4 linked regions of the Elephas maximus indicus genome follow. The protein of the gene in region 4 purifies or fractionates together with the protein of the main gene of each other region. This does not show direct contact. Links are inferred from orthologs where the notes say so. Each region holds a gene or a part of one and is shown on either strand. Other genes may lie near its edges. The genes, in order: IGF2BP3, G3BP2, G3BP1 and TRIM25.

The links.
Region 1: the proteins of TRIM25 (region 4) and IGF2BP3 purify together in Homo sapiens (affinity purification with western blotting; 3 studies listed by BioGRID, with this or other methods). This does not show direct contact. The link is inferred for Elephas maximus indicus from reciprocal best matches to the Homo sapiens genes TRIM25 and IGF2BP3.
Region 2: the proteins of TRIM25 (region 4) and G3BP2 purify together in Homo sapiens (affinity purification with mass spectrometry; 4 studies listed by BioGRID and IntAct, counting the BioPlex papers as one, with this or other methods). This does not show direct contact. The link is inferred for Elephas maximus indicus from reciprocal best matches to the Homo sapiens genes TRIM25 and G3BP2.
Region 3: the proteins of TRIM25 (region 4) and G3BP1 purify together in Homo sapiens (affinity purification with mass spectrometry; 4 studies listed by BioGRID and IntAct, with this or other methods). This does not show direct contact. The link is inferred for Elephas maximus indicus from reciprocal best matches to the Homo sapiens genes TRIM25 and G3BP1.

Annotation. Positions count from the first base shown.
Region 1 is NC_064826.1:84,499,604-84,507,518, reverse strand, and holds the start of IGF2BP3 (insulin-like growth factor 2 mRNA-binding protein 3), read left to right. Parts: upstream 1-4,831; 5' UTR 4,832-5,261; coding exon 5,262-5,436; intron 5,437-6,966; coding exon 6,967-7,027; intron 7,028-7,915. UniProt on the Homo sapiens protein: RNA-binding factor that may recruit target transcripts to cytoplasmic protein-RNA complexes (mRNPs). This transcript 'caging' into mRNPs allows mRNA transport and transient storage.
Region 2 is NC_064823.1:81,673,085-81,681,034, forward strand, and holds the start of G3BP2 (ras GTPase-activating protein-binding protein 2), read left to right. Parts: upstream 1-4,703; 5' UTR 4,704-4,879; intron 4,880-4,972; 5' UTR 4,973-5,092; intron 5,093-7,950. Other genes in the region: USO1 (general vesicular transport factor p115), read right to left, coding at 4,269-4,334.
Region 3 is NC_064820.1:167,398,514-167,407,038, reverse strand, and holds the start of G3BP1 (ras GTPase-activating protein-binding protein 1), read right to left. Parts: upstream 3,382-8,525; 5' UTR 3,270-3,381; intron 1-3,269. UniProt on the Homo sapiens protein: Protein involved in various processes, such as stress granule formation and innate immunity. Plays an essential role in stress granule formation.
Region 4 is NC_064837.1:37,143,913-37,151,721, reverse strand, and holds the start of TRIM25 (E3 ubiquitin/ISG15 ligase TRIM25), read right to left. Parts: upstream 3,273-7,809; 5' UTR 3,192-3,272; coding exon 2,595-3,191; intron 1-2,594.

The sequences.
Region 1 (7,915 bases), on a different chromosome or scaffold from region 4:
CTTTATTTTTGAGAAAACCAATGGGAATTGATTTATGTAATTATAAACCCACCAAAGACAGCAGTACTTAGAATACACTGAGGCTGTTTACCTTTGCAGTTAATAAAATTAAATATTATTTCGTTTGTTTTGTGCTTTTCCAAGCCAAATGTATATTTATTTTTTCTCACCGTTTCCACTAAATGTCAGTAAAATTAGAACATTTCAGCTACACGAATCACTAATCCTTCAAGATCGGTCTCAGCTTCATTGGTCCTAGAGCAGCTTTAACGAAATAGTTGTCGCGGCATAGTTGATTTTACCCGTAATTTTTCGTTTGCCTTTTTTTTTTTTCCTTGCAGGGGTTGTTTGGTTTTGCTTAAAAAGACCCTGGGGAGCACAAAGGGGGCTAGGAAGGGAGGGGGCAGGACGAGTGAATTTCTCTAGAAGCCAAGGGAAGTCCAGGCAACTGGAAACGCATTTTTTGGTTGTTTTTACAAGAAGAAAAAAAAATATATATATAAATTCTAAGATGTTGGAAACAGGCAGGGAAACGAAAATGTGACTCCAGTTGCTGAGCATGGCGCAAACCGACGACCTCCGGTCGCTGGACGTTGGGGGAAGGGAAAGGAATTGTGCGGGCACCACGCGGTCAGCCCAGGGGGCGGGGTCCACACACCGCAGAACTATTTTCTACACCTCCCTTTCAGCTACCATCTTCTTTCCTCCCTGGGGATTGGAGCTGGGAGCAAGCAGTTAATAGGGTAGGGAGAAATGAGAGTAAGAATCTCACTCCTCAACAACAAAACCATCGAGAGGGAGCAAAGGGTTATTTTCGCGCCACAAAAGATGGAAATCCAGGGGCTGCTCGGGGGCCAATGAATGGAAACCAGCAAACGAATCCGGCGGAGGTAGCCGACGGTGATAGGCTCCCTTTCTGCACCAATCGGATAAGAGGGAGAAGCCCCCCGCCCCCTCCTTCAGCCAGGGGCGGTGTTTCTCTCGACGCCGGTTGCTCAACTTGGTCTCGGCGAGTCAGCCTCGCGGAGCGCGGGAGCCCCGCCCCGGGGCCGCGTTTGCGCGCCCTGTGCGCGCATCTTGCTGCCCCGCCCCGCCCCGGACAGAGGCGCAGGGTTCGGTGATGGCTTTTTGCCTTTTTCCGTGGGTACCAAGCATCCCCTTGCGCCAGGCAGTCCCTCGCACACATGAAGCTGAGGCCGGAGGTGCGGGAAGGCCGTCAAACACGCTGCTTGGTCTGTCGGGCCGCGGGGGAAGGAGGACTTCAGGTGGAGTCGTGCCGCCGAGGAAACGACTGAGGTTTCTCCCGGCGCTCACGTCCCACCGGCCTTGCGGCTCCGCGCCGAGTGACGGGACCCGAGGCGAGGCCCGGGGGAAGGTGGATCAATGGTCAAGGCCCTTCGTGGCGAGCAGGCGGCCGACGAAGGACCTTCCCCAGTGTGCTGTAAGGATCCCGCCCTCTTTCTCGGGGAAGAGCCAGAGGAAAAAGGAAACAACCCCCATCTTCTCGTCTCCCGGGGCACCATTTTTAATTTCAAACGATAATAAACGAAGGTAGATTCTGGAGAGTCACGTTACCCCTTATCACGCCTCTGGTTTAAACAGATCAGAGTCCAGGAGAGCCATTCGAAGGAGCAAGAGCGTGTTAAAATACCTCCTGTGAGGCCCATGCGACGCGGCGGGCATTGTGTGCCCACCCGCATGAAGGGCTTAGGCTCCCAGCTTGTCTCACGGCAGCTGGGAGGAAGGACGGGTAGGAACAGGAATGTCCTTTCCCCTTCCTGCGCAGCCCTCGCAGATAACCTGTGGATACAGCAATGGTAACCGATCTTCTCAACATAGTTTTTCTCCCTTAATGTCACACTGACCCCCTAAACATTTTTATTGCGATTAGATCAGCAGATAAGGAGGTGCAGCTGTCCAAAGAGTAAACAGGCTGCAGATGGAAAAACTCAGCCGCAACTGAGATACAATAATCGGTGGGAGTCCTTTTTTCATGTCATCAACATTAACTAGGAGCTACAACTGCTTCAGGAGGAATCTGGAGTAGCCTATACACAGTTAATTTCTTGTGTGACACGTAGTGGAATACTGGAAGTTAAATTGACCTTATACTGACTCTTGAAAATCTAAAGATATTTTTGTACTTAAAGTGCCAATAAAAAATACTCATGCTCTTTTTGCTCTGCTATTGAGCTTATTATACTTATTCCTCAAATGCTTGGAAGATTCGAAGTGGACTGGCCTATATAGCGACCTCCTTTTGTTAGTGTCTGAGCTTATATAATGTGTATGTTTTTAAGATCCTAGATGGGGTATCCATTTTGTTACAATAATAGATTAAGTTCACAAGAGTCCCAGGTACATATTTCATCAAAACAACACACATTTTGTTTTAAATTCCAGCTGTTATAGGTTTGATAGTGACAGACTGGCATGGGCTAGTGTTATGGAAAATAAATCATCCACCCCATGCTTTAGAAGTATTTAGGTCTTAGTTTTAATAAGGGCAAATACAATCAATAATCCATCAGTCACCAATCGATTTAGAAAGCAAGCTGAACATACAAAATTTGTTCTTACAGAAAAATTACTAAAAGAATTAAACGATCAACAGACTTGTCTGTAAAATTTAAAGTAACATTTAGAAAAAGCAAAGATTATTAAGTGCACATTTCTCCAAATAGTTTTGATCACATGCAACAGGTACACGAAAAAGAAATATATTTTGATATTTACATTTGCATACCAAAGAAGTCATAAGGGAGAAGACGTATGTTTTTCTTTTTTACAACCATGGTTCCTTTAAAACACACACAAAAACTTTCTTTTAAAGTTAAACCTAACTATAAACTTGAATTTCACCACCAAAACGTTTTTTCAAGATAGGGCTCATAATATAGTTCTAAACACTGTTACATGTTTGTCCCCCATCTCATAAAGTAAAAGCATTTCATTAAATTAACCGTCAATGAAAATATTGTGAATGTGAGTATACATTTAAAAAAGTGGATTTGCTTGGCTGGAAAGAAAAACCTGTTAAAACAGTTGCACATAAAATGGATGATCTGACACCTTCCAGTTAAAATAAGACAAACTTATAAGTTCCTTTTAAAAGACAAAAGGTAAATACTTAATGCAATATATTCCTGTTTGTCTTTTATAATCTGCCATTCATCTTTTATCCCTGGAAATTACATCGTGTTAATAAAAAAAAATTTTTTTAAATGACACACACGATTTCGACAAAGAAACGAACTACATCAGTTGTAATTGTTTAAGATGTTTCCAGTTAAATCACATTATTTTCTCTATTACACAATACATCTTTTTCTACCGATAAGATTATCAAGTCATTAAAATTTCTTGTTTATATTTCCATGCTATAGACAATTTCATTCACTTAAAAAGGTTAACATTTGTGTCTTTCCCATGGAATACCTGTTAAAAACATATACCACAAGTATATGGTACAAATGAAGCCTTTGAGTGGTAGACAATTATTAAACGACACTTCCAGATTTCCCCAAGCACCCCAGCACTGCCTTCCTTTCCGTATTCCTCGTCCCCAGTCCACGTTTCGTCGGCCTGGAAGGCTTCACTGTGCCCAGACCCTCCCCCACAGACCCACCTTTGTACTCCTTACATGGAAAATTATGAATGGCTCTCATGCCCAAACGCTAGCAGAAAAAGAAGCAGAAGGAGACTCGTACAAATTTTGCAAAGGCGATTACCAGCTAGAGGTAACGCAGAGCGGTCTTCCTGTTTTAACAGTCTCTAGTTCGACAACTAAAATTATTTAAATAAAAGTACCACCCTACTTACTCCTCCCCCCGCTCTAGAAGCTACAGGAAGAGAGAGTTTCCCTTTAAGTATCGACTTTTCCCACTCTGACTTCTCTCCCTCAGCCTCCAAAGCCCCCGACGGCCCCATCCCTAAACCAGAAACCTCCGCCCTCCTCTCCCCCTCCCCCACCGGTGGCCGCGCCCGCCCCCGGCCTCATTTATCCCCGAGCCTTTTCTGAAACGCGCAACCAATGGCAAACGCGCAGCCGAGAGCCACAGGGAGCGGAGGCGGAGGCGGAGGCGGAGGCGGAGGAGGTGTCGCCCAGATACCCGCCCAGGACGTCGCTGGCTCCCATCCCCCACAGCCCCGGCCCTGGGATCCTGCAGACAGGCGCTCTCGTTTCCCCGGGCCGGGAGGGGTGAAGAGAACGGGGCGCTTCTGCCGTCTCTCCGTCCGCACCCACCCCACCCCCTCTCTGCGTTTCCGCCCCTGGCAGCCGTGGAAACGTGCTCGTGGCTTTGCCGAGGTTACACATAATGTCATCAAAGCCACAGGACTAGTTCAGAATTGTGGCTCTAGTTTTGTTAATCACCTACTTTAAAAACAGAATGATTAAAACTCAGAGTTGAGGAATCGTCTAGTTAGCACTCCCACTCTTTTACTCATTAAAAAAAAAAAAAAATCAACATTCCAACCCCCGCCCCTCAGGAGCCGCCCCGACCAGATAACCCTTTCTAAACTCTTGTTGTGACAATCAGCTCCCCGCTTAGCCTGGCGCCCGGCTGCGGCTTCCTTAGCATTTTTCCTCCTCCCCCTCCTCAGAGTCCCTTGCCTAATCTCGTTTCCCCTCCCCCTCTTCCTCCTCCTGCTTGCTCTTTCCCCCCCACTCCTCGAAACCCACTCTAATTGAGGCGCTGGGATTCCTCACGTGAGACGTTGATTTGTAGTTTGAACACGTGGCTCATTCAAAAAGCCGGACACTCGGAGCGGATTTTTTCCGCCTCCTGCGCTTTCTTCCCTCCTCCCCCTCTCCCCTCGCTCCTGCCAGTCACCCTTCTGGGTTTTTTTATGGGGAGGCGGCGCTCTGCCCTCACGTAGTGTGATATTTTCACAGTCCGCTGGCCGATGCCAAAGGGGTTGGGGAGGAAGAGACAAAAAGTAGTTTTTTTTTTCCCTCCTCCTCCTCTTTTCTCTCGCTAATCCCGCCTCCTCCTCAGAGTTAGGAAGACTCGTTCATGCGTCTGGGTTGTAGCAAGGCTTTTTCTTTTTCATTTTTCTTTTTTTGTACCTAGAAAAGGAGAAGCAAGAACCTTCAGACCTGATATTTCGCTCCCCGTTCTCGCCCTTGTTTTTTACTGGGTTTGTGCATTTTAAAGGCGAAAAGACGAGGGGAACAAAACCGCCAGATCCATCCATTGTGGGTGGTTTTAATTTTTCGTTTTTCTATTATTAGTTTTTTTAAACTACCAGTCTTCACAATGAACAAACTGTATATCGGAAACCTCAACGAGAACGCCGTTCCTTCGGACCTAGAAAGTATCTTCAAGGACGCCAAGATCCCGGTGTCGGGACCCTTCCTGGTGAAGACAGGCTACGCGTTCGTGGACTGCCCGGACGAGAGCTGGGCCCTCAAGGCCATCGAGACGCTTTCAGGTGGGCCCCGGCCTGGCCCCACCGGGGCGCCTGCCCCAGCCCTGCGCCGCCAGCCCCGGCCCGCCGAGGTCGGGTGCCCGGAGTCAGGCCTGTGGCTGCCGCCGGGGCGTCCGCGCGGGGCCCCAGGCCCGGCGAGGAGCCGGTGGAGGGTGTGAGGCCCGAGCGTCCACTCGTGTGGGGTCGGGGTGCTCTCAGATTTGGCTCTAGCTCCGCTCCCCCCCGTCTCCCCTCCCCCACCGGGGTTTGCCGGGCGAAGGTGGACCCGCTGTCAATAAAACCAGGGCCAGGGCTAGGAGGGGCGCGAGGGGCGGCTGCGGAGCCCGTGCGCGGGGATGGGGGGCGCGGCCGCCCGCACCGGACCCCCGTCAGCGCTGCCACCGCGCCCAGCCCGGGCCCAAGCGCGTTCTCTCGGTTTCCACACACCGGGCCGGGGGGGGGGGTGGGGGCGAGTGTGAATGCCTGCTTCGCCTTCCTTTCTCTGGTCGTTATTTATGGCGCTGGGTTCGCTGCAGACACCCAGACCCCGGCAGTGTGAGAAAGGAAAGAGGCTCGAATCTCTCAGCCGAGTGAGGCCGCGGGCTAGTGCCTTGCACTGGCGGCCCCGCGCTTCCTCCCGACCCTGCGGGAGGGGAGCGAGTGCGACCTGGCTTTCATTTTCAACTGCACTCTGTCGGACGAGCAAGCTGGGCAGGTGGGCGGGGGTGGCCGGTTGTAACCGGCGAGGGAGCCCCCGCTGCGGCGCTGGGCCGCCGGCGGCTCTCCGGAACCCGGCGCCCGGCTGCGGCCTCCGGAGTGGCGGCGCGCCCGTGGTGCCTGGCGAGGGCAGGAGACCGTGCGTGGCGGGGCGGCGGTCTTGGGCTGGGACTCCCAACAGGGAACCTACGCGGGGGTGCTTTTGCGAGCCCAGTGCCTTTCGGTGTCCCCCTTATCAACTCAGTACAGTTATGGGCGCCGCGCCGACCTTCGCGCGATGTTCAGTCTGGGCTGAGATGCAGCTCTGGGCGTTCGCTCTTCTACCCCGCCGCGCTCTCGACCCTTTCCCGCTACACTTCGTCCTTTCCAACCCTACCGCAAAGTGTTCCCGGCGGGCCTGGGCTTGAACCGGGTGAAAGGCCCGTGCGCCCCCTCCTGAAAGAAGCTAATGTAGCCCCTCTCCCTCCGTTTGTCGTATGGGAGTGTCCAGGGAGGTGGGAGGAGGGCCGCGTCCATTTTGCGGGTGTTGTGGGGTTGGGTGACCCTCTGAGTGGCCAGGGGAGGCTTGTCGGGAGGGGGTGGAATGTTACTGAAATAGTGGGCCTGCCAGTTGATCCCACTCCCCACAAATCTGTAAACTAAGCACACACACACACACATAGCCGGGAGGTCATGCACAGTGTAGGGTTCCCTCTCGGCCTTTAGCCGCGTCCGGGGCTTGGGGGCCTTTCGGGCTCTCAGGAGGCCACTCGTCGCTGCATAGGCTGTTGAGGGTCCTTTGGGTTCGAAGAGCCGCTGAACCCAGCCAAACGTTTCCCACTTCTTGTGTGCCCACAGGTAAAGTGGAACTGCATGGGAAACTCATAGAAGTTGAGCACTCGGTCCCAAAAAGGCAAAGGTGAGTTTAATAATTCTTTTGTCACGGATTCGTTACTGAAAGACTCCTTTTTTACACAGCTGAAAACAATTTTTTTTTTTTTTGCCTCCTATGCTTGTCGGGCTGCTGTGTGGCTTGGCGTTTCTCGTCATTTCCCCTCACTTTTAAGTTTATGGCAGCTGTGTGTGTGTGTAATGCTGCGAAGGAAAAGAGGGGTTGTCTGTGGCCCGGCAACTAGGTTGTTGAATATAGCAGTCTCTCAAGGAAGCTCTCACAGCTAAATATTCTCTGGCAGAGCAGGTCAAGTTACTGCAAGGGGAGATGAAGTCTCCAAGGGGAGTGTTTTGGGAATCCGGGATTTAGCAAGCAGTAAGCAGTGGATGACCGATGCCTGTAGGTACTGGGTAGGCGAAAGCAGCTGCAGAAATGCTCGGGTGTGGCATGCCCGCCCTTCTCTGGCCAAGTTGGCGACGATGAGTCTCTGAGTCTGCCAGGCCCTAGGCACATGAGAGGAGAGGAATTTGCCTTTACCCTGTTAGCTCACCAGCTGGGATTGGAACACGTGAGTGAACGCTTGGGCTTCTCCACCCTAGAAATGCCTTCCAGTCCCTCCAAAGTTACATAGGTTTCTGCAAACACCGCCTTTGTCTCCGCTTCCTTTTTTTTGAAAGACATTTTTGTTTACAAATCTACCACCGAGAGATCGTGAACTCTGATGATTTGTGCTACGTAAAAGCAGGGGGATTTCTCCTTCTCTGAGAGCATGTGTAGTGTCACTTGACAGAATATTTTGGAGACTGTTTTAGCCTCTGAAGCATTTTGGAGAAATGGCTCCTTTCTCCAGAGCAGCAGACTGTCCCGGCTCTCTCTTACTGGAAAGGCGCTGCTCCCTTGCGGTGCTGGGGTTGG
Region 2 (7,950 bases), on a different chromosome or scaffold from region 4:
GTAACACTAGGGCGTTTAAAATTTAAACGATTCTCTTTTTTTTTTTTTTAAACCACCCTAAACAATCTGCATAAGCCATGCAGTACTCAACAGATACTACTTAAAAGAATATAAGGGATGTCTGTGGTTGGATATAAGTGATCAAAACACAAATCATTATGGTTTTCTCTGACATAATTACTGCAAGACTAGCTGAGAGAAAACACCCATCAGTTATGACATTGACCTGGTTATTAAAGAAGAATATGAAACATCAACTCAAATAGGAGTTTCAGACTATACATTTATAGTAACACAGTATAAAATGTGCTCGACCAAACCACAGGTATGTCTAAATTTAAGCCCACATTCCTTAATAACAATTTTTATTAAAAGAAAGTACAAGCTGTCCCTGCATTATTGGCCCTTTTGCTTTCTGACCCAGCTGATCCAAGTTCGATCTAAGAAGAGACACCATAGCAGTATAGATATTCTGTACTTTTCCTGGACTTTATCAACTTTTATGCCCTCAGGATCCAATCTGAGAACATAAAATGCCTTGTGATTTATCACTACATATTTTTTTTTTTATAGTCTATACTTGTTTTTTTTCAAGAAACTAGTTTTTAAAAAAGATACTAGTTGGAAGGTAGATAGAAATTTTAGTCATGAGCATTTAAAAGCACGAGTAGAATTTTTACTATGATAGTGTTTATTTTCACCCAGCAAAGTATGTCATGGCTAAGGAGGCTTCAAGCATCAGAAATTACTGTCTTTTCTCTACCTGAAGTAAATAAGAGACATCAAATTAAAAAGTACTTGACTCTAAAATATGATAAAACATGGATAAAAATTCTGCACTTAAAACATCCAGGACTTTGTACAATTATTGACTATCATGTCAATTAATACTTTATTAGTTCTGAAGAGCATTAATATTAACAGCAGTCCCGAGCTTAACTCTGGGTAGGGTAAGAAAAGCTAGTTACTATACAGTCAGTAATATAACTCTCACACATTTAGAAGACATGAAGAAAAAGCAGGAAAGCAGTCAAAGCAGAATTAGTAAAAAGTCTGACATAATGAACTTCAGTCATTCCATAACTTTGATTTCTACTGTCTTTAAAAAATACTGTTTTAGAACCTAGGAATTTATAAGCTGTGATTATTATTTTTTTTTATGATTATAGATCTGTGACTTATTTCATACAAAACTATAATTAATTCATTTAACAAATATTTATTGAGCATCTATTACTATGGAAAAACAAAGATTAAAATCTATATGAAACTTGCCCTAAAGAAACTCAAGAGTCTTAAGTTTCTTAAGTAACTTAAGAATGAAACATATATAAATGGTAGACAGTGGTAGGAAGCATAAGAAATTAATAACCCAGTTAAAATCCAAAGAAAGCTCAGATGATAAAGATTATCTGCAGTCTGGTGGGGGAAAGAAGGGTGCAAATTACAGAAGGCATTTATGATGAGATTTGAAGAACAGGTAGAATTCAGACAGAGGTAAGAAAAGAAAACTTTCATGTGAAAAAGAGAGAGATGGAAAGCCACAGTGAAAATAATTTGATTTCACAGAAATAAAAAAATTACAAAATGATAATACACCTACCCCTCACTGAAGGACTCTCGTTATCTGACATTTCACATTTACAGTAGTAAAAACTCTACCCTCCAACTATTTTGTGCATTAATGACAAACATCTGGCAGTAACAAATGCCGAGATGTGAGGCAAAGGATAATGCTGGTTGTGATGGTTAAGATTATATGTCAACTTGGCTAGGCCATGATTCTCAGTGGCTTGGCAGTTATGTAATGATGTAATTTGGTAGTTATGTAAATGATGCAATATGGCAGTTATGTCATGATGTAGTCATCCTCCATTTTTGCATAATGTCAATTTTCTATGAAATCTAACCATATCGATAAGGGAGAAGTGGGTGTATAGAAGGTAGAGGTTCTAAGCTCTAGCAACTCAAATATCCAGGCTAGATCAACTCACCAATAAAAAGTCTAATATTGTACTACATTCTACTGATGCTACATAAATACTTTTAATTAGTAACCCATGACTCCTCATACCTGCTATACCTACTTATGGAATGATAGTGAAACAAATTTTATTCATACTGTAACAGACTACTTTCCTAATTTTGAGTGTATTTATCCTTAAAGCTAGGCAAGATCAAGCACCCTTACTTTCCTTTTAGTTTATATACACAAATGATACTCAAGCTTCATTCTGAAACCATGACATTAAAAACTATGTTGTCCCATTCACTGTAGTAAGATCAAAGTGTTCTTCTAATCCCAACTCTGAATTACGGTGCAAACACCTTTAGGGTTCTGTGCCTCAACTTCCTATCCTGGAAGATAAGGGGGTTAGACCTGAATGATCTCTAAAGGTCCTTCCAGCTTTAAAATCCCATACCCTATGAATTCTATACCTTTTCTGTAGAAGCCACCATGACAAGGAAAACTAGCAACAACAAAAAAAAGAAGGTATTCTTCCTCTAACCCATATGTAATAAAAACTACCTCTTATTGAGCACCTACAAAGTGTCAGGCTCCATTTCTTATTTCACTTAATCCTCATTATAACCCTGAAGAGCAGGCACTTCTCACTTTACAGGATATCAGCCAACTCTTGCCTGTGCAGTCCCATCAGAGGGTGCAAGGCCAGGATTCCAATAAAGGTCTAACTCCAAAACAAGCTCTAATAAGCCACACTTTAAAACTTGGGGTCTCTAACATAAATGCCAGACAAGTAAAGTAAATGGGGGGGAAAAAAAAAACTAAAAAGGTAGGCCATGGCTACAGTAATCTGGAGAGAGCGACTGTGGTAATCTGGAAACAGCATGTTCCCTTTTTTTTTTTTTTTTGAGAGCATGTTCTTCTAATAGGACAGCTCAGCTGTCTTGTGGCCATGTGGGAATGGACAAAAAAAAAAAAAAAAGGCCAAGAGAAGCCAAATACTAGTTGCGTGTGTATGAGAGAAAAATAAATCTTATTTTCAGCTTCTGCTTTAAACAGTTCTAACTTAGATCTGTGCAGCTAATGTTACTTGCATTATATAAATGTCCAAACTTCTTTCCATCTAAGTATTAAAATATGGGCTTCAGGAGTGAAGTCTAGGCTTTAGAGTAAGGCAAACTCAGGTTGAATCCCAGCTGTTACTTGACTTCTCTAACCTTCATTTCTTCCCTTGTAAAATGAGGATACTATCATCTATCTTGCAGGGTTGTTAAAGATTAAAGGAGAATGTAGAATATAAAGAGCTCAGCACAGTACCTAGCTCAAGGTAAGAGCTTGACGAATGAAAGCTACTCCTAACTATTCTTCTGGAGCCTAGCAACAAAGTTATGCCACTTTTTTGTAAACTTAGAACTACTCAGAAGTAAAAAGTTTATTTTTTTTTAAATGTCTTACATACTCATTTTCAGGAGGCACTTACCAAACTTCAAAATTAAATTTAAACCTGCAAGATAAGCAACGATCAAATACCGTTTTCAGGTACTAACAATTTTTTTTAAATGACGCTGCAAATCGTGTCACCAGGAGTTCAGACCGGGATGAATGAGAGAAAGCAGATGTGTCTCCAATGCCGTTTGAGCGCGAAAGATTCCCTACAACGCCCAAACAAGTTATTTACCAAATGACATATATTTAAAAAAATATTTAGGTGAGCCGAAAAAGCGGTGTTTGAACTTATATCACCTCGAAAAACGACCTTCCTTCCAGTTGAAGAGACAGGAGCAGGTGGCTTTGTGCCCCAAACTAGCGTTTTATTCTTAGCCACATGCTCTGGTCAACAGCTGGGTTTTAAACCTTCTTGCAGTCTTCCCCAACTCCCTGATTCCAGACTGCGAAGGAGAGAGCAGGACTTCAGGTCCCTCTCTGGCGGTGTAGAGACACCCACAAAAGGGAAGGAGGGAGGAGCCCCGGGCCTCGAGGGGCGTGGGAGATAGGTCAGGCAACCTCTGCCCGGGATTCGTCCCTTTCCCGGGCGGTATCACCCGAGGACCACCTCCTCGTTGGGCCTGCAGAGCTGCGGGGCGCGGCTGTCAGCCTGGCCGAGTCGCCGCGGTGGGGGCTGCGTTGGGGGTGTGAGCGGATAACTCCGGGGTCTCAGGAGAGGAAGGGAGGCAAGGGGGGAGCCGGCGTGGGGACCCCAACCCACGATGGAGCTAAGGAGGCGACCCTCCAGGCCTCCGAGTTCTCCGCCCCAGTCCCTGCCTGGACCCTGCCCAAGTCCCGGATCCGTCGCTCCTCTCACCGTCTCGGCTTCGGTGTGCTGGGGTCCGGCACTCTGACCCCCCATTACCCCGCGGAGGAAATTCATCTTGCCGCTCAGTCACGGGCTCTACCAGCCCCTGCGGAATAGAAAAGAAGACAACTTCTCCTGTCTTTCGCAGTGCCTGGCCCCCAAGCCCGCACCCTGCCCTAGCCGGCCGCCGGCACCACCACCTCTTACTCGGCGGCCGCTCCAGCCCCCGAAGCCCGGAAACAGCCTCCACCACCGGCCGAGACGCGCATGCGCGGGGACGTGGCATTACGTGGCGGCTCGAAGGGCGAAGGCAAAGGGGGAGAGTAGGCTAAAAGAGGCCCGCCTCAGGAGGGCCACCCAAGCCCCGCCCGGTGCCCAGGCCCCGCCTCCCGCCGCAGGGCCACGCCTCCACTCCCTCCCTTTGAGGGCAGCTCCTGCTAGCCCCAGCCACCCACGTGGCCGTAGCCCAGCCCAGCCCGTAGGAGGCGATCCAGATAGTCTGCGCGTTTTGGCTTGCTAGGTTTTTAATTGTCGCGGAGCGGGGCTTACTGCAGGCTGTCAAGTCTGGGGTCGTATTTTGTTGAGTCGAAAGCGAAATTTTCCCCCGGCCGACGTGACAGGTAAGGTGTCCAGGTCCCTGGAAACGCCTGTTTGAGGTTTAGCAGTACGAGCGCTGTGGCCTTCTGATCTTAGTAAATTGTATTTCTTCACAGGGCTTTGTTTGGTGGTAAAAAGGGTGCTAGAGCCCCCTCCTTCCTCGGCCACTGGAGGGCGCATTTCTCAGCTGTTGCTCTTCAAGCCTGCTAGAAGGAATTCCTAGATCTAAACACCAGGTACACCGCTATTTTCAAGTGTGTAAGAAGGAAACATTGAACCTTGCATTTAGCTTCGTAGAGAAGTAGATTGATCTGGACTGTCAATTTGGCAATTGGTAGCAAAACGTTGTATTATTAACTCTCAACTCCCGCATTTGTAGTGTTCTTTTTTTCTTAACTTGGAAAAATGCCATTTTTTTGAAGTAGGCATGCCTTGTTCTTTTCGCAATGAAGTTGCCAGGTACACATCCTTCTGGAAAAGTCTCGTAAATTTTTTGAGGTTAAAAGGCACAGGGTCTAGTTAGCTAACTGACGCATGCCCCTCTCGTTTGAATTCCCTGCTGGTCTCGAGTCAGCATTTAAAATTGAACTCATCTTTCCTAGCCTCGCTTAAGGAAAAAAAAAAAAATCAATGTACTTCTTCCACTGTGTGCCCTACCTACAGTGATCAATAGTACCACTGTCCAAATGATTGCCTAAGCCAAAGGAAGAAGCTGGGAGGAATCTTAGACTCTGAATTTCAACCCACTTGTCCAATAGTCAAGTCCTATGGTTTCTGTTTATAGAATATTTCCCGAATAGATACTCTGCTCTTCATCCTCTCTGCCTCTGACATAGTTTATATTCCCATCATTTCTCACAATTATGGCAAGAGCCTTCTAACTCCTCTGTCTGCTTGCAACCCTGGCTTCCCTCCATTCTGGTGTCTAGTCCACTGCTGACCAAGCCCAACAACGACAAAACATCTGTTCAGTCACTCTTGTTTATAAAACCATCTAGTGGGTCCATGTTCTCTCCATAATAAAATCCAAACTCCTTACCTTGGCATACAGCACCTCCTATGATCTGGCTCCTGCCTGCCTTGCCAGCTCCCATTTCTCCCACATACTCAGGCCATTATTATGCCTAGATGGTCCCTTCCCCTCTCTCCTCTTCTTCAAGCAAACTCCTGCTAGTTCTTAACACTCAACTCTCTCATCATCTCCTCAGAGCTTTTCCTGAAATTCAAACGTATATCTATATACTAGCACTTTGCAGTTATTAATATATAGCAGGCACTCAGTAAATGCTTGTTAAACTAAATTGTTAAGGGCAGGGACTGTGTTACTCATTTTTGCATCTCTTTTTCACTGTCTCGTAGAAGGTGATGTTGTTGCATCAATGAGTAAATCATTGAAAAACTATATGAATATTGTCACCTGTAAGTGGAATTGTAGGTAACACATATCACAAAGGTTGTGGTGTAAGTCCTTTTCCTAAGGCCAAGATTTTAAGCCTGGACCATGTGGAGAATGGTGGGATCATACCGCCAAAAGTACTGCATGCTAAACATCGTCCTCTACTTTAAAACCAGACACTTGACGTTTTGCTTCAGACATTTTCTATAGGGTGATTTTGTTGTCACCTAAAAAAGGTAACCAATAAATGCTCTGCATTTTTATTACCAAGTAGTGAGTACAAAAACAACCTCACCCATTCTCTAAGCCTCTCCCCTTCCTGAGCCCTACTCCTTCCTGAGCCTCACCTCTTCCCTAAGTCCCACTCTGCATTGTTGGGGATGAGGCTCCAAGATGAAGTGGGGCTCACAGATGTCTACTGTGCATATTATTTGGTAATAAATAACAGTGCCTTGACTTGTTAGCAAAGGTGTCCTAAGATGCCAGCCTTGTCATATATCTGACTGTGTTTTAAACTGTGGTGTGTACAGTAGGTCACTGTATTAGCTTCCAAGGTCTGCTGTAACAAAACACCACGAATTGAGTGGCTTTAAACAACAGAAATTTATTCTTTCACAGTTCTGGAGGCTAGAAGACCCAATTCAGGGTGTCAGCAGCACCATGTTCTCTCTGAAGGCTCTAGGGGAAGATACTTCCTTGTCTCTTCCTGCTTCCGATAGCCCCAGGTGCTCCTTTGCTTGTGGCAGCGTAACTGGTAACGCCAGTCTATCTCCATCATCACAGGGTATTCTCCTGTGTGTCTGTGTCTCTTCTCCTCTTCTTATAAGGACACCAGCCATATGGATGTCCTGATGACTTCATCTTAACTTGATTGCATTTGCAAAGACCCTATTTCCAAATAAGGTCACGTTCACAGGTATTCGGGGTTAGAATTTCCATATATCTTTTTTGGAGGACACAATTCAACCCATAGCCATCACTAACAAGCTAATGTGAGTTTTTACTTCATTTGACCTGTTTCTTCCCTAACAGTATCGCCTGGAAAGGAAGGATTAGGAGCAGGGGGCATGGACAGTTGAGTGCAGAGGAGATGAGGGCAGGGTCAAGTTCCCTGGCCTCTCAGTCTTGCTTCTGTTCTGGCGTCTCAGAAAGGGGGATGAAGGGAAGGTGGAGCTGCTTGCTACCTCTACCCTCAAGGGGATGCAGAGAGAGGGCAGTTGCTCATTTGTCCCCCAAATGAAAGCAGAGGTATCATCACTACACAGCAACCATGAAATGGACTCCTTATTTAAGAGAAAGGGGGTTATGTATTAATCTGCTCTCACTGATTTTATAGAGAAAAGCCAGGGACCACCTCTTATTCCTGTTTGTATCCTTTAGTCATCTCACATAATTCTTTTAACATTGTAGATGTTCAAGAACCATTTGTTAAATAAAGAGAAAACATGAAAAAATTGTGACTGTAGGACTTACACCATTATACTTCTTTCATAAATTTAAGAATTCAGAATAAGAATGCCATGCATCATGAAAATGCACAAAGAATCCTAAATTTTAATTTGGGTAAATAAAAACATATATATATATATATTTTTTTTTCCTAAACAAAACCTGGCAACTAACAAAATTCATAGATTTGAAATCTTTTTTTTTTTTTCCTTCACCTATTGCTTCTTCGAGACCTTGTAGTTTAGTGGC
Region 3 (8,525 bases), on a different chromosome or scaffold from region 4:
TGCAGATTATTCCTAGCTCTTCACCCTATCCTTCAGCTTGCAATTCAGCCTTCTCCAACCAAGGCCAGGCATGGTGTCTATGAATACATAAAAAGAAAAAAGAAAGCAGACTTTTGAATAATATTTTAAAATATAAACCTAGTTTAACTGCCACAATGTGATCACTGACTACAGTTGCAGAATCTAAATTTAACTTGAGAGCTGAAGGACCGTACCGCTACTAGGAAAGGTTTCCCACTAGTTGTTGACACCTGGCCAGCCAAAGAAAAAAGGTCTACCTACTTTGACAATGATCCCCCTTTGTAAAGTTTCAAAGCATCCAGCCAATCATAGTTTTGTCCAGTCCAAGGCAGCCTTAAAACACAATATAATAAAACTTTTTTTTTTTTAGTAACACACAACGCCTATCTAAACTTCCAGATATTTTAAAAACCAATCTAATTGCAAAGCATTAAGAAAACACCAGTGGGCACTTTTATGAAACCAAAAAAAAAAGTTGGTTTAAGTCACAAATTCAGGCTTTACATTAAATCTCATCTTTTGAGCACTGGCCCATCTATCCTTCTACAAATCATACACAACTCACAAACTTATAAAAACTAACCTCTGCCCTTTACTTTCTGTGCAAAGCATTAAAATAAGTTCAAGTAAAAGATCCCTAATGTAAATTACAAAAATTGCTGCAAGGGTCACCAACGAACTTTACCAAATCTCCTGATGATCTCTTATTAAACTATTAGCTAAGAACAGCAAATCAAGTGTGAGGTAAAGAAAACCACTGCCTACTTTTCTACCTGTTAGAAGAGGTACGTCTGCTCCGATTTGAAAGGATTTAACTCTTAACAAAAGTACTAATGGCTTGATTGGAAAGTAAGGCTCAAGTCTTATATTATCACAATTTGCTTCATTTCGCTTGTTTTTGATAAATACATGCACAGCAGGCCAACTGGGGTACCAACAATAGGAACATCACTTAATTTTATTTCTCCCCAAATGACAGCAATTTGCCTGAGGCCAAAAACAGTATTTTGTTAATACTTGAAGGGATTACTGACAAAACTTTCCCTCAATTAATACATAGTTATTTCATCCCGATAATATTTAACCTCAAGTAGTACTAAAAATGGCTGGAATCAAATGTGTAGGTCTGTCATCATAGTGTGTCAATATTTGATAATCTAAATTGCTCATCTTAAGTCCTAAAACACTTATTTCACAGTTAATTCCTCTTTAAATGCAGGTAACAGAAATTGTTACACAACTGCAAGTTCCAAATAAAACAATGTTATATCCAAATGGAACTGTAATTTATGGCAACAACTAAACGTAAGAACTTGTCCACACAACATTCTGATCTTTTACTGCTACTTTTTGTTTAGAAACATGGGGGGAAGTACAAGGTAAAGGAAAACACATGCAAGTATTAAATCCCCTCATTGTCTTAACTTACAAAGAATGTACATAATGTGTACCCTCTGGCTGCAAAAACTCCTTAAAGAGCAATCCTAAAGAGTATGAGCGCATACAGTAAAAAGGACAATTTTTTTTAAAAAAGAAAAAAAAGCAGAACAGGTTGAAAGCCATTCAATTCAAAACTAATTTAGAACAGCTAATCCCAAAGCTTCTTTTGCAGTTTTGTCTTAGAGACACCTGTGATGCAAATTAATAATTTTGACTTGCAACTTAAGAACATTCATTATTTCATTAAGCCAAAGTGTATACAGGCTTTAAAAAATCTAACTCTGCTACAAAGATAAAAACTCAAGCCTTCGAAGATGAGAAAGGTGTGTTCCACTTTTTTGCGTCTACACAGGAGCAGAGTAAATGCTCAATAGCTGAATGTAGTAAGGCTTTCAACCACAGAAGATCCCAACTCCACAAGAGTACAATTTCCAACATACCCCTATCACCCGCGATTCATCTAGCATTTATAACCTCCAGAGGTCAAATTTATCCTGTAACGGGGAGCCATCCTTTCCATTCCAATTTTTAACCCACAGATACTGCTGAGATCTGAAACTCTTCATTCTAAACCTCATTTTCTTCAATTATAAAACGAGGAAGTTTAAACTACCTTCTCAAAGGTCTTTCTCAAAAATCTGCTCTGATTAAAAAAAAAAAAAAAGAAGGATTCAAGACCTACATATCAGAGTCTAACTTCCTGCTGGCGAGAATGTCCCATTACCTCGCTGAGTTTCAAATCTGATGAGGAACACAGTCCATGTTCGTCGGCATTTATTCATTTTTCTACTTTTTCCAGAAGCTGTTAGGGCAGCACATCCCTCAGCTATCCCAGCGAATACAGGCAAAAAGGGAAGCTCAAACCCTCTTTCTTTGTCATAATTCCACTTCCAACCTTTGATCATCTCCGTGGAAGGCCACCACTGGCCTCAAGTACAAATGCCGCAGAGACTTCTCGGCAATTGTGTCTTCCGAGGTGGATGCTGCCCCCAGTGACGCCTGCTCTCGGGGCAAAGGTGCCCTGGGACCGCACAAGCCGTTGGAGCAAAGAATAAAACAGGCTCGGGGGCTAGAAGTCAGGCAGCCTGAGTTGAAATACCTGTCCCTTACCGTCTGCGTACCTTTGGCCATGTCACTCCACCTAGGTGCTTTAAAGTCCGCTGTAAAACGAGGAAAACAATTGTACCTACCTCACTGGGTCGTTGGAAGGATTAAATGAAATACATACAAGTTGCTCAGCACAAAGCCTGGCCCAAAAGGAAGGGCTTAGAGACATTAGTTATTGTTATTGCTAATTCTCCATGCACAAGGCCGCTCGCTCTGTACTCCCTGGAAGGTCGAAAAATTCTGATCGCACTTGAAGGTCGCCCCTACCCCTCGCTCCCGGTCCGGGCCAAGTCTGAGCCTCTAGGCGCGGGGAGAAAACACTCGGCTGGCGCGTGGGATGGACAGAGGATGGATGGGGCGGGCGGCGGGAAAAGCCGGCCAGCCGGCTCGCAGTCCCTCCCTGGCCGCGCGAGGCTCCCGGCCCCCCGAGATGGCCCTGGGGCCCGGGCGGCGGCCGCGGCTCGCTCTCGCCCCGCGTGGCCGTTGGACGCGGCACGTGCACGCGGCGGCCACGGCCTCGCGCTCCGGACGGTGGGGGTAGGGGAGGCAGAGAGCCGCTGCGCGCGCCTGCGGCCGTTGGGGGGAAGGGGGGGCGCGCCTCGCGCCGCCGCCACGGCAGCCGCTCGGACCTCTCCGTCTAACAGCAGCCCCAGCTCGGCCTCGTCCTCGGGCGGCCCAGCCCCGCCCACGCCCCAGCCTACCTGCGCGGCTGAGCGGGAGAGGAACAAGCTCTGCTCCACAGTAGGACGGATGGCAGAGGACCCTCACGGAACTGCGTCCGCACACACGCGTGCTCCGCCGCCGGTGTATATAACCACGACTCAGCCTAACTTGTTGCGGCCAGGCCGGGCGAGCGGATGGCCAATCCCGAATGCGCCCTCTGGGCTCTTCGAACCACAATTGGATATTGACTCAGGGTGAAGGCGTGGCTCTTGATTGGCTTGGACTAGGGCGTATGAGACTGTAAGGATCGCGTTTCCCTAGTAACGGATTGGCACTCAGAAAAACCAATAACTTAAAGGTACAGTGAAAAGGAGGGTGGGAAGTTATGTGACCGATACCCGTAATAGCCAATAAATCCATGAAACTACTCTCATTCGCTAAAACGTCGTCCCCTGGGCGGAGATCCGTTTTCCACGCAGGAGCGGTTGCTCCACAAGGTGGGGCCCGTGTACTTTGGGGAAGTAAACCCCAAGTAACTAGGAGGTGGGCTGCAGAGAGGCCAAGGAAGTCCCTGGCCAATCGTAACGCCGGAAGGGGCTGATTGACGCGGGGGTTGGCTCCAAGGAGACCGAACCCCAGGGCCGCCGTGCCCTCTGGGGCGTTTATAGGAGTTTCCAGGCTCTGGCTTCTGTTCTCTTTCCTTTCTTTCTCTTGTTTGATCCGGCCCCAGGGTCCTTTTTCCCGCCTTTTCCGCACAGTTGGTACTAGGGGAACCAAGGGGTAAAATTCCCCGTTAAGTTTTTGTTTTTAATCTTTTATTTAATTTTTTTTTTTTTAATTTCTATGCGGCTGCCTAAGGGCACTTGCTGAGTCTTACCTTTAGCTAGCGCTATTGTTGGACTTGGACCACAGTTAAAGGAAAACAAAAGAAGAAAATAGTTTCTGTTGTGTGTGTAAGAAATGTAAAAAGATCACATGTGAAAACTACTGTTGAGTTTGAGAATGTATATGTCCACCCCATTCCCTCTTGGCAAATGCTGCGGTTGCTTAAACCAATGGTGGGCTTATGGGGGTTTTAATCAGACTTTCCATTTTGGTTGTTGCAGAGGGAACGTCTCCCGTCAAGTTTGGGCCTAATGCAACATCACATCTTGTGTGTGTCCCCAAGATTGTCATTCCTTTTTCTAATTGCTGTGTATACATGGGACTTGGAAGACTTGCTTTTTCTTCATGCCTTTGCATCTTTAGAAGATAACTTGTCCAACTCCTGCATGGATACTCCAAAGATTCCCCGAAACGGTTAGGCTAAATGGCCCTCCAGCCTGGTTCTGTCCGTGTGTCTTAGTATTTTGCTGTGTCCTTTGTTGGTCACCACAAGCATTTTATATAGGAATATGGTTGGTTCCAACACATTAGGCATAAACTCGCATTCTCATTCCAGGTATGTAAGCAGCTGGGAGGGTCTTCTTACATTTTGCCAATAACGTTGGAAATGAAGCAGGTGGAGCGTCTCTGGATGCAGAGAAAGGCCAAGCAGGATGGCCTAGCCAGGGCTGAAAGGAGAAATGGGCACCCGCCGCATCTGAACCAAATCCAGCCCTGCTCTTCCTCTCTGCACTGCCGGCCTGGCAGACGAGACTGGAGACCAGGGGAGGCCTCAGGAGCCATGAGAAAGGCCCCGCTGGTTCCCCCAGGTCTCACTCCCTTATCAGCCCTGCTTATTCAGTGTTGACTGAGTACCAGGGCTAGGAGTCAGAAATGATCAAGATGCTGTTCACTGTCACCCATTCAACAGAGGGGTGCAACACTGGGACACGGATCCCAAAACAGGCATCAAAGGGTCTGTGGGGGGAAAGGAAGGAAATCAGCCTACAGGAAAGAAGCAGCTAAAAAATGTCTGAGGTAAGGGACCTTAAGATCATGTAAGGCATGTGAAGGAATTTGGGCTTTATTCTGTAGGTGGAAGGTTTTTTCAAGGGTGGACTAAGGTTTACATTTTACAAAAATGACTGTACTGAGAGCAGATTGACAAAAATAAACAAGATTGGTAATTTAACCCAGGTGGCCTGTGATGTGGGAAATGGCTTCTCTTGATCACATTTGGAAGGAGTATTAAATGATACAGCTTATTTTATAAGGCAAGTAGGCAGTGTCTATTAAAATTGTGTGTGTCCCTAAATAAAATTCTACTTCTTGGTAGACAGGTACATTTGTTTACAGAGAGGCCTGTACCAGAGTGTTTATTGCAGCATCGTTAGAATACTTAGAAGTAGAATATTAAAATAATATTCGTCAATTGGCAAACTGTTTAACGGTGGTATACCTGTAATATAGGATACTTATGCAGTAGTTTAAAAAAAGAATATATGGATATGAACTGATGTCCACTTGTTAAATGGATTGTTAATTTAAAAAAAGTCATTCAATGAAACATACAGTGAAGTCCCATTTATGTCAAAAACAAAAAAAATGCTCATTTTGTATGTTAAAGTATATATGTAAATGTATGGGGAAAGTTCTGAATTTAAAATAAATTCAGTCATTACTCCTGGAGAGTTCAGTATGTAGGGAGGGATGAGGGTAATGTATCTGAAATGTTTACAATGGTACTGTGTTCACATACTGTGTTGTGTAATGGGAGGGAATGAGGGAGAGGAGGAAGGAAGGATTATGGGAGGGAGAATGTGGGCAAGACAACCCCTCAGATGGCTGTTGCTGTCTTTCATGGGAGAAAGGGAGTTAACATCCTCCCGTCAAAGCTTCCCCATCCAGATAAACCCTCTAGATCCAGACAATGGATATTTAGTAAATGTTCGGTAGTTAACTTACTACCAACAAATTGTCTAAAACGTGGTTGAGAGGTTGTCTCCAACATCCCCCCCCGCAAGGACATATTTGGCATTGTCACAGCTAGGTAGAGGCCACTGGCATCCAGTGAGTAGAGACCAGGAATACACAGGAGAACCCCCAAAACAGAGACTTATCCTGCCAAACCCCAATTATGTAGAGGTTGAGAAACCCTCGTCTATAGACCCATTTAAGTCATCTATGGGAGAATCTCAAGCCTTCTTCTGGTCTTTATCTCCGCTGCCAAGCAAGTTCTACAAACCCCTCCAGTACATTCTTTCACCCCTGCCTTTCTATCAGCTCTCCCGAGAGCTCTGAGAATCGGGGTGGAAGGAGAATGAACAAGACCCCAGAACATACAGTTTGATAGGAGGAGTGCAAGGGTGGTGGGAAATACTAACTAGGTAAGAAAAGTTTCTTGAATATCATCTGAATCAATGTTTCTCAAACATAGTTACTCATTTATGAAGAGTGATGAAAAATATGTGTGTATCTTTAACTGTTAAACTCCCACCTATGACCAAAGACCTAGTATAATAATTTTCATTGCAGCATTGTTTAAAGTAGAAGGAAACAGGAAACAACTCAAGTATCTAGCTACATGGTACTGATGAGATACAATGCTAAAATACAACACACTCTTACAGTGAACTGTCATGCAATCACAGAGAAAATGAGGTAGATCTACATGTATACTTGTAGTGAGATCACCAAGAGATATTGTTAAATGAAGAAAGCAAAATGAAGAATAATGGGAAGAGTGTGCCACCATTTGTGCAAAAAGAACAAATGGAGGCTATGTTGTTGTTAGGTGCCATTGAGTCAGCTGCAACTCACAGCAACCCTATGGACAACAGAAGGAAATACTGCCTGGTCCTGCGCCATACTCAAAGTCATTACTGTGTTTGAGCCCATCATTGCAGCCACTGTGTCAATCCATCTCGTCGAGGGTCTTCCTCTTTTTCTCTTCTTTTCCAGGGTCCCTGCTGATAACGTGTCCAAAGTATGTGAGATGAAGTCTTGACATCCTTGCTTCTAACAGACATTCTGGCTATATTTCTTCCAAGACAGATTTGTTCTTTCTTTTGGCAGTCCATGGTATATTCAGTATTATTTGCCAACATCATAATTCAAAGGCATCAATTCTTCTTCAGTCTTCCTTATTCATTGTCCAGCTTTCGTATGCTATGAGTCAGCTGAAAACACCATGGTTTGGGTCAGGCAGTTTAGTCATTAACGTGACATCTTTGCTTTTTAACACTTTAAAGAGGTCTTTAGCATCAGATTTGCCCGATGCGATACACCGTTTCATTTCCTGACGACTGCTTCCATGGGCGTTGATTGTGGATACAAGTAAAATGAAATCCTTGACAACTTCAATATTTTCTCCGTTTATCATGATGTTGCTTATTGGTCTAGTTGAGAGGATTTTTGTTTTATGTTGAAATGTAATCCATACTGGAGGCTGTAGTCTTTGATCTTCATCAATAAGTGCTTCAAGTCCTTTTCACTTCAGCAAGCAAGTTGCGGTATCTGCATATCACATGTTGTTAATGAGTCTTCATCCGATCCTGATGCCCTGTCCTTCTTTATATAGTCCAGTGTTATGGTTTGAATTGTGTCCCCAAAAATGTGTATCAACTTGGCTAGGCCATGATTCCCAATATTGTATGATTGCCCACCATTTTGTTATCTGATGTGATTTTCCTATGTGTTGTAAATCCTACCTCTATATGTTAATGAGGTGGGATTAGCATTAATTATGTTAATGAGGCAGGGCTCAATCTACAAGATTAGGTTGTATCTCAAACCAATCTCTTTTGAGATATAAAAGAGAAAAGAGATCAGAGAGGCAGGGGGACCTCATACCACCAAGAAAGCAATGCCAGGAGCAGGGCATGTCTTTTGGACCTGAGGTTCCTGCATTGAAAAGCTCCTAGTTGAGGAGAAGACTGATGACAAGGACCTTCCTCCAGAGCCGACAGACAGAGAAAGTCTTCCCCTGAGCTGGCACCCTAAATTCAGACTTCTAGCCTCCTAAACTGTGAGAGAATAAATTTCTCTTTGTTAAAGTAATCCACTTATGGTATTTCTTTTATAGCAGCACTAGATAACTAACAGTCCAGTTTCTTGGATTATTTGCTCAACATACAGATTGAACAAGTGTGGGAAAAGGATACAACCTTGATGCACACCTTTCCTGATTTTAAACCACATGGTATCCCTTTGTTCTGTTTGAACAACTGTCTCTTGGTCTACGTACAGGTTCTTCACAAGCATAATTAAGTGCTCTGAAGTTCCCATTCTTTGCAAAGCTATCCATAATTTGCTATGATCCACAGAGTTGAATGCCTTTGCATAGTCAATAAAACACAGGTAACACTGGTGGTGCTGCAGTAGTTAAAGCTATAGACTCCTAACTGAAAGGTCAGTGGTTCGAAACCACC
Region 4 (7,809 bases):
GGGTTTTTTTAGCTTTCAGCAAAAGAGTGCTGGTGCCGCAAACAGTTAAGCGCTCAGCTGCTAACCAAAGGAGAAAGACCTGGTAATCTGTTTCCATCCAGATTACAGCCAAGAAAACCTTATGGGACAGTTCTACTCTGTCACATGGGGTCACTATGAGTCAAAATCAACTCAATGGCACCCAACAACAACAAAATGCTTCCAGCATCACAGCAACACGCAAGCCACCACAGTATGACAGACAGACAGATGATGGAACCTCCTGATGTTATTGTTGTTAGGTGACGTCAAGTCCGTTCCGACTCATAGTTACCCTGTATATGAGAACAAAGCACTGCCCGGTCCTCTGCCATCCTCACAGTCGTTGTTATGCTTGAGGCTATTGTTGCAGCCACTGCGTCAGTCCATTTTGATGATGGTCTTCCTCTCTTTCCGTGGCCCTCTACTTTACCAAACATGATGTCCTTTTCCAGGGACTGGTCCCTCCTGATAACATGTCCAAAGTACAGGAGACAAAGTCTCACCATCCTTGCTTCTAAGTAGCATTCTGGCTGTACTTCTTCCAAGACAGATTTGTTCATTCTTTTGGCAGTCCATGGGATATGCAATATTCTTCGCCAACACCATAATTCAAAGGCATCAATTCTTCAGTGTCCTTTATTCATTGCCCAGCTTTTGCATGCATATAGACTATTGAAAACACCACAGCTTGGGTCAGGCACACCTTAGTCCTCAAAGTGACATCTTTGCTTTCTAACACTTTAAAGAGGTCTTTTGCAGCAGATTTGCCCAGTGTAATACGTTGTTTGATTTCTTGACTGCTTCCACGCGCATTGATTGTGGATCCAAGCAAAATGAAATCCTTGACAACTTCGATCTTATCTTCGTTTATCGTGATGTTGCTTATTGTCCAGTTGCAAAGATTTTGTTTTATGTTGAGGTGTAATCCATATTGAAGGCTGTGGTCTTTGATCTTCATCAATAAGTGTTTCAAGTCCTCTTCACTTTCAGCAAGCAAGGTTGTGTCATCTGTGTAACGCAGGTTGTTAATGAGTCTTCCTCCAATCCTGATGCTGCACTCGTCTTCATGTAGTCCAGCTTCTCAGGTTATTTGCTTGGCATACAGATTGAACAGGTATGGTGAAAGGATACAACCCTGATGCATTACTATTCCTTTTTATGATTTCCCAGCTAGGACACAGGGCTGGGATTCAAACCCAGCTCTCTCTCAACACCCAGCTCTGGCCTGGAGAAACAGATAAGGCCAAGGAAGGGCTGTAACCTGAATGGGGGAGGCCTGTACTCTGAACTCAGCAGTGCTGCAACCCCCGCCCCCAGCCCTCCCCGACCTCACCCCGGCCTCATGTCTCCTTTAACAAAACAAAAAGAGCCCTTGTTCTATCTGACAGTGCCGGGAGCATGAAATAAAATAAGGCCAAGCTTTGGAACTTACAGTGGTATACAATTCAAGGTGGTTTCATTACATCTTTCAGCCTCTGCCTGGAGTCCACAGAGAAAAGGTATGATCCCTCCAAACCACTAAGAAGATCACAGACCAAGGTCCCTTAGGAATCCACCTAGTCTCACCTCCTCATTTCACTGACGAGGCCCCAAGCCACAGACCACATCCTTTGCTCAAAGTCACACAATAAGGAGGCGGTGCTATGGTGCCACAGGGCTGGTGCTCCCTATGGTCACATCCAGGGATTCCTGGGGCTCCCCACACCCTCTCCGACCTCTAATAAGAACAACTCTCCCTGGTCAACAGAACTCTCCGGGTCCCCAGAGGTGTTTGCTTACATGACCTTAAGCCTCTGGAAATGTCCCGTGCTCTGGACTCTCCAGACCTACAGATCTGAGGTTGATCCATGGAGAGAAATCACACAGTGTGTAGTCAAACCAACTTGGGTCCCAATGTCCACTCCGCCCCTTGCTGTATTAAACTAAAAAAAAAAACAACCAAACCCCCACTGCCATCCAGTCGATTCCAGCTCACAGCAACCCTACAGGACAGAGTAGAACTGCCTCATGGGGTTTCCAAGGCTGTAACCTTCATCGAAGCAGACTGCTGCATTTTTCCACTGCAGGGTAGCAAGTGATTTCAAACAGCCAACAATTCGGTTAGCAGCCAAGCGCTTTAACCACTGTGCCACCAGGGCTCTTACTGCATTACCTGGGGCTAGATTAATCTCTCTGGACCTCAGTTTCCTCAACTGTAAATGAAAATACTAAGACTCATCTCCTAGGCGCTCGCAGAACTTACTGAAGGACAGAAGTAACCTCCAGGGCTTAGAGTTAACATTCAAAACCATCTACGAAACACCATTAGACAAGCACAAGGCTTAAGGAAAGCTACTTCGGCTGTGTCTTCTGTTTTCCTCTCTGTAAAATGGGTGTATGTTGGGGGGCCAGGTATACATGGTGGGAGAGGCCTGTATCATCCCCAGCTCCTTTCTCCTGTGACATTCGGGATACCCCTGCCCTCCATCTCAGGCCCAGCAAAGCCTATACCCCCAGAGCATTCAAGGTGCGGCAGAGAGGCCCAGGGAGCACGGCCTCTGTGCAGCCCCACCAGCCCTCCGTGGCGCCCCTACCTCCAGGTCGGTGCTGGCCTGGCTCAGCGGCGCCGGCGAGCAGGCCTTGTGCTCCACCAGGCAGATATGGCAAATGCACTCGCCGTGCTCGGGGCAGAAGAATTCTCGCAGCCGGTTGTGCTGAGAACACTTGCGGCGCATCAGGTCGCGGATAGGCGGCTGCAGCGGATGGTCCTGGAAGACTGGGCTGTCGAGGTGCGGCTGCAGGTGCTCCTGGCAGAAGGAGGCCATGCACACGAGGCACGTCTTGGCGGCGGCCGCCTTGAGGCAGTGGTCGCAGGCCACCTTTTCGGGCAGGCTGGGGGCCGCGGTGCGCACGGGCAGCGTCCAGCCGTCGACAGACACCTCCCGGGCCTGCTCGGCGCTCAGGAACTGCTCCACCACGGCGCACAGCACCGTGTTCTTCTGGAGCTGCGGCCGCGCCTGGTAGACGGCGCGGCACTGCGGGCACCGGTACGGCGAGCCCTGGACGGCCCACGTCTCGTCCAGGCACGATGCGCAGAAGTTGTGGCCGCACGGCGTGGTCACCGGCACCTTGAAGGGCTCCAGGCAGATGGAGCACGACAGCTCCTCCGCCAGCGGGTTCAACTCCGCCATAGCGCTCCTCCGGAGGGGCACGACACGTTAGAACCCAGGCTGCTGCACTGTGGCACGGAAGCTGTGAGGAAACGAAACTGATCGGGGCCGGGGCGGTCCCCGCAGCCTCTCGGAAGTCACGTGGGGCGCGGGCTGGTCGGCTGGCTGGCTGCCGGGGGTGAGGGGGCGGGCCGCATCCGGCCCCCGTGCGGGCGGCGGACTGGCAGTCCAGGGGAGGGTCAGCGGCGGAACGGCCCGTATAGCTTCCGCCCGGTGGGCGCGGGGCTTTTTGGGGCCACTGTGCGGACGATGAACTCGAGGGATGCGGAGGCCTGGACCCCAGCCAGAGCCGAGGTCCAGTCGGCCTTCCGCAGACTGTTTTTGTTTTTTCTGCGGGGGGCTCGGGGGTGTGGATGCTCCATCAGCATACAGCCCTTGGAGTTTGGAGCTCACACCCACGCTCAGACTTAAACTGGGTGACTTCTTTCCATTCCACCAATCTAACAGGATTTTATTTTTAATTCTCATTTCTACTTTCCTGGAGTTTGGAGACATCCAGTTTAATGAAAGGTTTACACACACTCACACACATCTGTAACATTAGAGCTTAAACATTTTTCTAAAAATTGCTTATTTAAATTTCATTTAATATTTAGCTCTATTTTTCCCCTTCTCTGGCCTGGGTACAGGAAAAATGAGTGGACAAGAGGCTAGACGAGTTCAAGAGAGGAGACGGGATGGTGGTAATGAGAAAGATTGTGTATTGGGAGGGGTTAATTGGAGTTTGCTTTAGGTACAGAGTGGATGGCAAAAATGAGAAAAAGGTAAATGCCTTAAAAAAAAAAACCTTAGACTACTGCTAATAGTGATAGCGGAGCCCTGGTGACGCAGTGGTTAACAGCTCGGCTGCTAAGCAAAAAGGCTAGCAGTTCAAATCCACCAGCTGCTCCTTGGAAACCCTATGGGGCAGTTTTACGTTGCTTCGTAGGGTCACTATGAATGGTAATAGTAATAGTAATCCAAAAAGTAATTATTTGTTTATATGCAACCTACTGTATACTAGGTAAATCACATATATTAGCCATAATCTTTATAAAGAAGCCCTGGTGCTGCAATGGTAAAGCGCTGGGGTGCTAACCTAAAGGTTGGAGGTTTGAACCCACTCACCGGCTCCACAAGAGACAGATTTGGCAATCAGCTGATGATCTGCTTTGGTAAAGATTATAGCCAAGGTAACCTTATGGGGCTGTTCTATTCTGTCACATGCAGTCCCCATGAGTCAAATCTACTCTACAGTACACAGCAACAACCCAAAAGAGCAGTGGCTGTCAAGTCGATTCCGACTTACAGTGACCTATGGGACAAAGTAGACTCGCCCCACAGGGTTTCTGAGGCTGCAGGTTTAAATGGCCAGTCTTCCGGTGAGAAACCAAGCACCAGGGCTTGTCCCACCAGGGGTCCTTTTACAATAACAACAATCCTTATAAATTCTGCAAGACAGATGTCATTGTGTCCATTTTACAGATGAGGGTCAGATAACTTCCAGAAAGCAAGACTAAAATTCTAGCCAAGGACTGCTTAACTCAATATTCTACTCCCTGGTTCCCATAATTCTCATCCAGCAGGCTCCTATTCCTCCAGGATCCTTTACTCAATTTGTTCTCTTTCATTATGGGTTTTTTGTTGTTGATGGTGTTTTTGTTTTTTTGCATGGGGGAGAGAAGAAGGATGAGGGAGTGCAGGAAATTAAAATTTGTTGATAATAAATCTTAGTTCTTACAACAGATCTTTGCAGTAGGTATAATTATCTCATGTTACAGCTGAGGAAGCCCTGGTGGTGCAACGGTTAAGCACTCAGCTGCTAACTGAAAGGTTAAAGTTCAAACCCACCAGCCGCTCCGTAGGAGAAAGATGTGACAGTCTGCTTTCGTAATCTTCCGTAAAGATTACAGCCATGGAAACCCTATGGGGCAGTTTTATCCTGTCCTATAAAAAAAAAAAAAAAAAATTTTTTTTTTTTTAATAGGGTTGTTATGAGTCAGAATCAAGTCATCGGCAACAGGTTGAGGAAATGGAGGCTTAGAAAAACTAAACAACTAGCAAAAAGATGGAAACAACCTAAGTGCCCATCAATAGACAATGATAAACGAATTATGGTATATTCGTACAGTGGAATACTACACAGTGATAAAAAAGAATGATGAATCCAAGAAACATCTCACAACATGGATAAATCTGCAAGGCATTATGCTGAGTGAAATTAGTCAGCTGCAAAAGGACAAATATTGTATGAGACCACTATTATAAGTACTCAAGAAAAGGTTTAAACACAGAAGAAAACATTCTTTAATGGTGATGAGGATGGGGAGGGAGGGAGAGGGGAATTCACTAACTAGATAGTAGACAAGAGTTATCTTAGGTGAAGGGAAGGACAACACACAATACAGGGGAAGTCAGCACAACTGGACTAAACCAAAAACTAAGACGTTTCCTGAACACAACCAAATACTTCAAGGGACAGAGTAGCAGGAGCTGGAGTCTGAAGACCATGGTTTCGGGGAACATCTAGGTCAATAGGCATAACAAAGTTTATGAAGAAAACATTCTGCATCCTACTTTGAAGATTGGCATCTGGGGTCTTAAACGCTAGATGCATCAATTGGTCTCAGCCCACCTGGGGCAAAGGAGAATGAAGAACACCAAAGACACAAGGAAAATATTAGCCCAAGAGACAAAAGGGCCACATAAACCAGAGACTCTATCAGCCTGAGACCAGAAGAGCTATGACCAATGACCACCCTGACGGGGAACACAACAGAGAGGCCCTGACAGAGCAGAAGAAAAGTGGGGTTCAAAACTCAAATTCACGTAAAAAGACGAGACTTAACGGTCTGACTGAATCTAGAGGAACTCCAGAAGACATGGCCCCTAGATTCTCTATTAACCCAGAACTAAAACCATTTCTGAAGCCAACTCTTCAAAGATTAGACTGGACTTTAAAACATAAAATAATACTTGTAAAAGTGTGCTTCTTAGTTCAAGTAGATACACGAGACTAAATGGGCAGCTCGTGTCCGGAGGAGGGATGAGAAGGCAGAAAGGGACAGGAGCTGGTTGAATGGACATAGTTGGGGGTGGAAAGGGGCAGCATGTTGTCACATTATAGGTATTGCAACTAGGGCTGCATAACAATATGTGTATAAGTTTTTGTGTGAGAAACTAACTTGAGCTGTAAATTTCCACCCAAAGCACAATTTTTTTTTAAACTATCGTATCTAAGACAATGGATATTGGCACTCAGATTATTTGCCGGAAGCTAGACCCTTATTACTATAACATGCTGCCTTCCAAGGAGGAGTGGGGCGTTTCCAGGAAACAAACACTATGAAATTCCCCATGACCAGGCTCACATGGGTGAACTGGCCCGGTGACTCATGCCAGAATGTTTGTGGAACTCTCTTTCTAGGTGGAGAGGTTTAGAAGGGCTGGTTGAACAGTGAAGATGACTAGGAGGGATTTCTTTATCAAATTCAGTACTTTTAGACCTGTTATACAGCAGTGATGGTACTGGCTGCTGGAGGGATCAAATGTGAGTCTAACAGAGGCCTGCCTTCTAATATAAGGGAGAAGAAGAGAGCACAAAGCAGAAAAGGGAAATAGGGTGAGAGGTCAATTCCTGCTGGGAAGATGGACTCCTCATTTGAAAAATCGGAAACCTGATAATACCTTTTTCCTGGGGATGTTGTGGAAACAGCAAGTAAAGCACACTAATGCGGGTGGGAATCCAGTTGCCATGCAGTCCGTTCCGACTCACAGCCACCCAGTGTATTTCAGAGTAGAACTGCGCACTATGATTTTTCAGAAGTAGATAGCTGGGCTTTTCTTCTGAGGCACCTCTGGGTAGATTCGAACAGTCTTTCAGTCAGCAACCCATTGCCCTCAAGTCCGTTTTGACTCACAGTGAGTTCATGTGTTACAGAGTAGGACTGCTCCATGAGGTTTTCTTGGCTGTAATCTTTATAGAAGTAGACCACCAGGCCTTTCTTCCATGGTGCCCCTGGGTGTGTTTGAACCATCAACCTTTAGGTTAGTAGCCGAGCACTTAGCCATTTGCACCACCCAGGACCTCCACCAGTAGAAATAAATGTTAACCGCCGTGATGGGCTAGTGGAGGCCCAGAGAGTGTATGTGGGCTGGAGAGTGTGTTTATCATTAGTAACCTCAGCTGAGCAACATTCTCGAGTCAAATGTGATCCCAGCTAGTCACAAGGGACCAAGATGGTCCAGTCCAGCAGATGACTGGCTATCTTAACCAGATTCCCAGTCTGCATCTGTAGGTTGGAAGAATTAGGTGGGGTAATAAACCTCATTTACCTAAAATATACTTTTTTCTAAATTTTATTTTATTGTTGAGAATATACACAGCAAAACATACACCAACAGTTTCTACTTGTACAATTCAGTGGTATTGATACCATTCTTCTAGTTGTGCAACCATTCTCATCCTCTTTTTCTGAGTTGTTCCTTCCTCATTAACATTGCTCCCTAAGGTTCCTATCTATTCTTTCAAGTTGCCATTGTCAATTTGATCCCATATAGATAGTTCTTAAAAGAGCATAATGTTCAAGGCAGACATTTT